2 linked regions of the Notamacropus eugenii genome follow. The protein of the gene in region 1 purifies or fractionates together with the protein of each later gene. This does not show direct contact. Links are inferred from orthologs where the notes say so. Each region holds a gene or a part of one and is shown on either strand. Other genes may lie near its edges.

The links.
Region 2: the proteins of POGZ (region 1) and CHAMP1 purify together in Homo sapiens (affinity purification with mass spectrometry; 4 studies listed by BioGRID and IntAct, with this or other methods). This does not show direct contact. The link is inferred for Notamacropus eugenii from reciprocal best matches to the Homo sapiens genes POGZ and CHAMP1.

What each region holds. Positions count from the first base shown.
Region 1 is NC_092873.1:305,320,636-305,324,384, reverse strand, and holds the start of POGZ (pogo transposable element with ZNF domain), read left to right. Parts: upstream 1-1,502; 5' UTR 1,503-3,749. UniProt on the Homo sapiens protein: Plays a role in mitotic cell cycle progression and is involved in kinetochore assembly and mitotic sister chromatid cohesion.
Region 2 is NC_092877.1:206,038,381-206,042,129, forward strand, and holds the start of CHAMP1 (chromosome alignment-maintaining phosphoprotein 1), read right to left. Parts: upstream 2,841-3,749; 5' UTR 2,818-2,840; intron 2,383-2,817; exon of another isoform or gene 2,098-2,382; intron 1-2,097. UniProt on the Homo sapiens protein: Required for proper alignment of chromosomes at metaphase and their accurate segregation during mitosis. Involved in the maintenance of spindle microtubules attachment to the kinetochore during sister chromatid biorientation.

The DNA.
Region 1 (3,749 bases):
GCTCCTCTGCCCTTTGGAATATCATATTCCAAGCCCTTCAGTCCCTTAACGTAGGAGCTGCTAGATCTTGTGTTATTCTGATTGTATTTCCACAATATTTAAATTGTTTCTTTCTGGCTGCTTGTAATATTTTCTCCTTGTCCTGGGAAGTCTGGAATTTGGCTACTGTTCCTTGGAGTTTTCCTTTTAGGATCTCTTTCTGGAGGTGATCAGTGGATTCTTTCAATTTCTATGGTTCTAGAATATCAGAGCAGTTTTCCTTGATAATTTCGTGAAAGATGATGTCTAGGCTCTTTTTTTATCATGGATTTCAGGTAGTCCAATAATTTTTTTGATCTCTTCTGGATCTATTTTCCAGGTCAGTTGTTTTTTCAGTGAGATATTTCACATTGTCTTCTATTTTTTCATTATTTTGGTTCTGTTTTATAATTTTTTGATTTCTCATAAAGTCTTTGGCTTCCATCTGCTCCATTCTAATTTTGAAGGAATTATTTTCTTCAGTGAGCTTTTGGACCTCCTTTTCCATTTGGCCAGTCCTGCTTTTTAAAGCATTCTTCTCCTCATTGACTTTTTGGACCTCTTTTTCCATTTGGATTAGTCTGTTTTTAAAGTGTTATTTTTTTCAGTATTTGGGGGGAGGGTCTCCTTTAGCAAGCCGTTAACTTGTTTTTCATGATTTTCTTGCATTACTCTCATTTCTCTTCCTAATTTTTCCTCTACTTCTCTTACTTGATTTTCAAAATCCTTTTTGGACTTTTCCATGGCCTAATTCATATTTTTCTTGGAGGCTTTTGATGTAGAAGCTTTGACTTTGTTATCCTCTGGTTGTATGTTTTGTTCTTCATTGTCACCAAAATAAGATTCTATAGTCTGACTTTTTTCCTCTGTTTGTTCATCTTCCCAGTCAAATACTTGACTTGCTAACTCTTTGTTAAGGTAGGACTCTGTTTCTGTTAGGGGTGGGGGTGGGTGTACTGTCACAGGCTTCAGGAATTTTGTATCAGCTGCTCCATCCTCCATTGTCTGTGGGTCCAGAGCTTCCAGAAGCTGCTCCTGCCTGCACAGCCTCCTCCTCTGCCCAAGGGCTGGGACCAAATCCGAACCAGACCACACCCCTCCACCAATCAGGTCTGACAGAGTTTTCCTACTGACTTTCTATGCTGTCTTTGGCATTTGTGGGTTGAGAAGTCTGGAAACTGCCACAGCTGCCAGCAGTTTAGTCCCCTGAGGCCTGCTCCTACCTTGTCTGTCCTGGCACAGTCCACCCCAGACTGTGCTTTACCCAGCTCCCAGCTTGGTGGAACAGACGCTTCCTCTTGATCTTCCAGGCTGTCCTGGGCTAGAGATTTCCCTCACTCTGTCACTTTGTGTGTCCTGCAGCTCTAGAATTTGGGTAGAGTCATTTTTTACAGATATGTGCAGGCATTTGAGGGAAGAGCTCAAGCAGGTCTCTGCTTTCCCTCCATCATCTTTGCGATCCCATTTATTTTTGTACATTGTCAACAGTTATGGGAATGGTTTGGTGAATAAGTAAAACCTTGAAACCAATGGCTAAAATGAAGGTTTTGGATAATGTGGATTTCAGTAGTGCATGGTGATTCATATTTTTATATGAGAGCTAGCATGTCACATAAGAAATGATAGATTAAGAGTGTGAGGATATTTGTCTAGATTCCAGCTTTGCCATTTATGATCTGTGTGATCTTGGCCAAATCACTTAAACTCTCTGGACCTGTTTTCCTCATCTGTAAAATGAGGGGTTTTGGATCAATGGATCTATAAGGTACTTTCCAGCTCTAAGTCTGTGATATTATGACCATGGTTGGTTCCATATCTTGGGTCCTTAGGAAAATACAGATGATTTTCCTCTAAGTTGAATTGTGATCCTTTGATTGTAAGCGCTGTGTTTTAGCATTGCTGCTTCACTTATTTCTCATGTTTAAGGTTAAGAAATAGTAATGGGACACAAAGATCCCCTTGACATCTTTTTAAAGACACATCAATTTATCTTTTGCACTTTCCCAACAAAACACCTGTACTAACCCTTCTATGAAAATATACTTCCTGAAAAAAAGTTAGTCTTTTAGCTTCAACAGAATAATACCAAAAGAACAGTACAGTTGACCAGAGTTTTGCTGTTTCTCTACTGACATTTATATTGTAGTTGTTGTGTATGGGTTTTGGGGCTCTACTTTTTTCACTCTACATCACTTTTTATGCAGATCTTCCTGGGTTCCTCTGAATTCTTCTATTTGTCTTTCCTTGTGTTATACACATAATACCGCATTACATTGTTACCATAATGGACTGGCCCTTCTCTAGTTGTTGAGACCCAATACCTTTCATTTAAAAAAAAAAATCTATCACTTTTCAGCCCTTTCTTTTAAAAGAGCCACTCTGAATGTAGGATGGTCAAATTTAATTATTTCCATTTAAAGAAAATTTGAGCATGTTCTTATTCATGCTGTCTTAAGAAAAAAAAACAAAGAAGCCAAGCATTCTCTTGTGATAATGCAGATTCAATAAAATAAACATTTTTAAACTGTTTATGGTGGTCAAGGTACTGTCCTAGGTGCTGAGGATACAAAGGTTAAAAAGCAGAGACACATTTAAAACAGTATGAATGATTGAGATTGGACTTCTGGTTCAAACTTTGGGGAGGGCCATACAAATTTGCATAGTAGTGACTTGCTGAAAGACTAAGGTTTCTAATCAAATAGAACTGAATTCTGGCCTTTCAGAAATGAGACCTTTCCAGCTTACTGAACTCATGTTCTGAATATTTGCATGCAGCTGGTCAAGATTAAAAAAAAAAATTTGTGAAAATGCTCTACAAATATTAGTCCACAGTTGGTATTAATTATTGAAGCTTAGTAATAATAAAATCTGTTGTATCAAATTTCTGTTCACATACAGTGTGGATAAATAAGACAGGCAGAATAGTAGATAGTCTTGGACTTGCTGGGATGTGACTTTGGACAGTCTCAAAAGTTAGTCATCAAGCATTTATTAAGTCCTTATTATGTGCCAGGGACTTTGATAAGCAATGGGGACACAAAGAAAGGCAAAAACATAGCCTCTCCCCTCAAAGGAGCTCATCATGTTCTAATGAGGGAGACAACATGCAACCACTTGTGCCTGCAAGATGTATAGATACAGTGTAAATAGAAGGCAATCATAGAAGGGTGGCAATAGTAGTAGTAAGGGAGATTGATAAAGGATTCTGGCCAAAGATTTAAGCTCAGTCTTGAACCAGGAGGCAAAGGTGAGGAGGGAGAGCATTGCAGGCATGGTGGATAGCTACAAAGCAAGAAAATGTAGTGTCCTGCAAAAAAAAAAAAAAAAAAAAAAAGCAAGGTGTCCAAAGTGACTGGTTCAGAGGATACATAGATGAGAATAAAGTATAAGACTACATAGACAAGAAAGGGTCAGGTTGTAAGAGGCTTTAAAAACCAAACACTGGGTTTTAAATTTGTTCTTCTAGGTGATAAGGAACCACTAGAATTTATTGAATGTGAAGAGAGTGTGATACAGTCATAAGTGCACTTTAGGAAGATCATTTTGGAGGCTGAACTGAAATAAAGGGGGGAAGGCAGGCAGGAAGACCAGTCAGAAAGCTATTGTAATGAATAGTCCAGGTGTGAGGTAATGAGACACTGCACTGCACCAGTGTGATAACTCTGAATGGAGAAAAGATATTTATGAGAGATGCTGGGAAGGTATAAATTATAGGACTTGGCGACAGATTG
Region 2 (3,749 bases), on another chromosome or scaffold:
TTTTCCTGATACTATGAACCTCTCTGCACCTGCTGCTCCTTCCTCTGAATCTTGGGACCAAGGAATACAGGTCTACCTCTTTCATGTGCCAGCTTTTCAAATACCTGAAAACAGCTATCATAACCTCCCCATTCCTTCTCTTCTAGAGGCTCTTCACCCTAAGTTGACCTCTCTTTGGGACACTTTCCCAAAGTTATCAATGTCCCTCCTAAAATGTGAAACCCTTAACTGAACACAATACTCCAGATGTGGTCTAACCACAATTTCTTCCTGTGTACTATACATTCTGAAACATAAGATCCTGTTAGCTCTCTTGGTTGCCATACCACCATACTCATGGAGAGCCTAATGTTTCAGAGTGGCAGCCAAGACAGCACTCTTGCCTTGAGAGTATCATGTTCACTTCTGGACACCACACTTTGGGAGGGACAAGGACAACCTAGAGAAACTCTGGAGACAAGTAGTCAAGATGTTGAGAAATGCTGAAACTATGTCCTGTGTGGGGCAGATGAGTGAGCTGTGCACACTTCACCTTCTGAAGAAAAGAAGCAAGTCAACAAGCTTTTATTAAGTATGAAACCCAAGTATCTATTAAAGGCTGTGCTAAGTGCTGAGGGATACAAACAAAGGCAAGGAGCTCACAAGGGGCAACATGAGAGTTATGTTCAATTATATGAAAGTGTCATATGAATGTGATTAGGTTTGTTTGTGTTGCTCAAGAGGGCAGGATTAGGGCCAATTGGATGTTACAAGAAAACATTTTGACTCAACAGAAGAAAGAATTTTCTAAAGCTATTCAATGAGGGGTACATTGTATCACATTACAGGAAATTTGCGGTCACTAAAGCATTCAAGCACAGACTGGACGACCGTCTCAGGAACACTGAAGAAACAGTATCTATATTTGAAGGTAATACGGAATACATAATTAACCTCTACGAATTTTTCACTTTCAAAATTCCAAGGCCCAAATCACTGAGCAATGTTTAAACCATTCTCACTAACTACATCTAAATCTACAAATAATTATAACCAGTATCTATCAACCAAAATTATTCTTGCCCTATTCTAACCTACCCACAAAACTCAGCACCTAGTCTCACCTCATTCTACCACAAATCTACTTCTTTTTCTAAAGAGATGCACGTTAATCTTTGATGATACTAAGAGTCCTGCTTTGCCATCCCCACCATCTGGTACTGATTTATCATACCTCTATACGTACCACAGATTCACATCCATTTTGTATCTTGGGTAACTACCTATTTTTCAAAGATTTTTTTGTGGACTATCGATTAACCATTTATTCTACTTATGAAACACACATTTGGCAAACCTTTCTTGATAGCGAACTACAGACAAGACGCTGTATGATAGGATTTTAGGGTGTAGCCTGCAAAAAAAAGCTACACAATTGATCTTGTGTTTATCCGGTGCAGTGGATGTCATCGATCTTCACTCTTTACCGGATACTAAATATCCTAACATAAATAGATACTCTGTAGCTAGACAATGGAAAGCGAAGAGAAGATAATGCACGCGCCGGGCTTTCAGAGGCTCTTCTCCACTCGCATGGGGCTTTTAATCCAATCTGGTGCCATCCTGCACTCGCCCCCCGGGGCTACCTCTTTCTAGAGTGGCAAGGAAAAACTACTGGGTTTTTGGTTTGGTTCTTCGTTTTCCAAACTGCAATGTGATTTAGGCAGAGAAATGCCCCGGAACCACGGGAGAGCAGGTGGCGAAGCACGTCGGAATCTCACTCCTCTAACTACTACAGCCCCCCTCCAGGAACAGAGGCTTTTTTAGGGTTACTCCCGGGCGGGGCAGCTGGCACGCTGGTGCACGCGAGGCCCGACGCCTGCCCCTGCAGCCCTTCCCGGTTCCTACGAGGAAAAGACCGAGGATTCTGTCCCTAAATCAGACTGGAGGCTGGCACGTCGCCATCCCATGAAAGGCGAGCACAGGAACAAAACACGAAAGGGCTGGAGGGCGGACTGCCCCCTCCCCCATCCGCCCAGATACACACGCGCACACGCACACACACACCGCAGCCCCTCCCCCTCCCCCGTTAAGCCAGCTCCGCGCGCGCCTTCCTACCGTGCAGGGCGAGGGGGAGGGGGCAGCTGCGGACACGTGGTGTGAGGGGGCGAGCCGGGCCAGGGGGGTGGGACCGGGACAGTCCGTTCCTAGCGGAACGGAGGCCACGCGGCGGCGGCCTCCTCGACGGGGTCCGCGGGCCCCTGCTGCGCGCGCGCGGCTCCGTTCCCGAATGGCGGCGCGAAGACGCAGCGACTGAGGCTGCTGCTCCGGGTGCGCGAGCGTGCGCGTGGTCGCGTGCGGGGAGGGGGGGGGGGGGAGGGCGGGGATGCCGAGAAAGGTTGGCGCCTCCACTTTCCTCCGAGGCGCGGTTTCCTCGCGTCGCCCAATCAGCGCCAGGATCCCCAGAAGCCTCCGAGGAGGGGGGAGTGGGCGGTCCTTTGAACCGGAAATGCCGTGGCGTCTCTTAGCCTCCTGCCCTCTCCCTCCCCCACCCCGCCCCCGCCGTGGCGCGCGCCCTCCTCGGACTCGGGGCTGCGGCGCGCGCTGGAAGGAGGCCCCCTAGAGGAGCCCACGACGTAGTCCGCGCTGTCCGGGGGGAGGGGCGAGGCGAGGCTCCAGGCCCCTTCTGCCAGCCTGGCCGCACCCGGGATAGGCTCGTTACTCCGCGTTATTGTTCCACCCGGGCCACTCGGCCGCGGGACGGGCACCCGGAGGCCCCCTCCCCACCCCCACCCCAGGCCCCCAGCGGTCCCCTCCCCCTCTAAGCCTTGCCCCCACCTCGGTCCGCTTCGTCCTTGGCCTCGCGCAGCGGCATTCCGATGGGGAAAACGATCTGCCAATCGCTGGGTCTACCCGAGAATTATGCAGAGTAGATGGAAGGGTACCCCAGAGGAAGCGGGGGCAGGGCGGGGGGAGAGGGGGGTGTAGGAACCCGAGAAGGCCTCCTGGGAAAGGTGGGATTTGTGCTGAGTCTTCAGAGCCACCGAAAATAATAGGCATGAGGTTCGGCCAGTGCAAAGGTCCGGAGTCGGTACATGGCTCGTTGGTGTGCGAGCAACTGCCCGTAGACCAGCGAAGCAGAATTGTAAAGTTAGTGGAGGGGAGGAAAGACGTCGACCTCTTTGTCCCGGGACAAATTCTCCGAGACTGACGAGCTGCAGATCTTAAAGGGAGGTTCGGTTTCCTTCTTTGTCTGGTCCTGTTGTTGATTGAATTCTTCCCCAAAAGCTCCCCGGTGTGTGGGTGTAAATTTTAGGGTTCACACCTGACCTGACGAAGTCATCCAGCCTCGCTCGCAGAATTTCACACATGAATAATCCAAGGTCCAGAGAGGTAGCGTGGTGGCAGAGCCAGCATTCATGTGCGTGTCTCCTAATTCCAAACATCGAAGGGTCATTAACCGTAACTCTTTGTGGGCAAGGACTGTGCCTTATATAAACTTTGTCAAACTCTTAGCCCATCTCTTTTCCTCTCCTCTCCCCACCTCCTTTTATAAGCACAGATGCCAGTGTCCTTGCAATTTGTGTGTTCATCCTTCGTTGCTGAAGAAGACCACGCCATCAAAGAAAGAATGACATGACTTTCACTGGACTTTGTTTTGAGTGAGGGAGGGCTGTGCAGGTCACCAGCCTCACTTCTCCTCCAGAGCCATCTGGGTCCAGTGACCAGATAATCCTCAGGATGACTGGAGATGTCCCAGGATGAGGCAA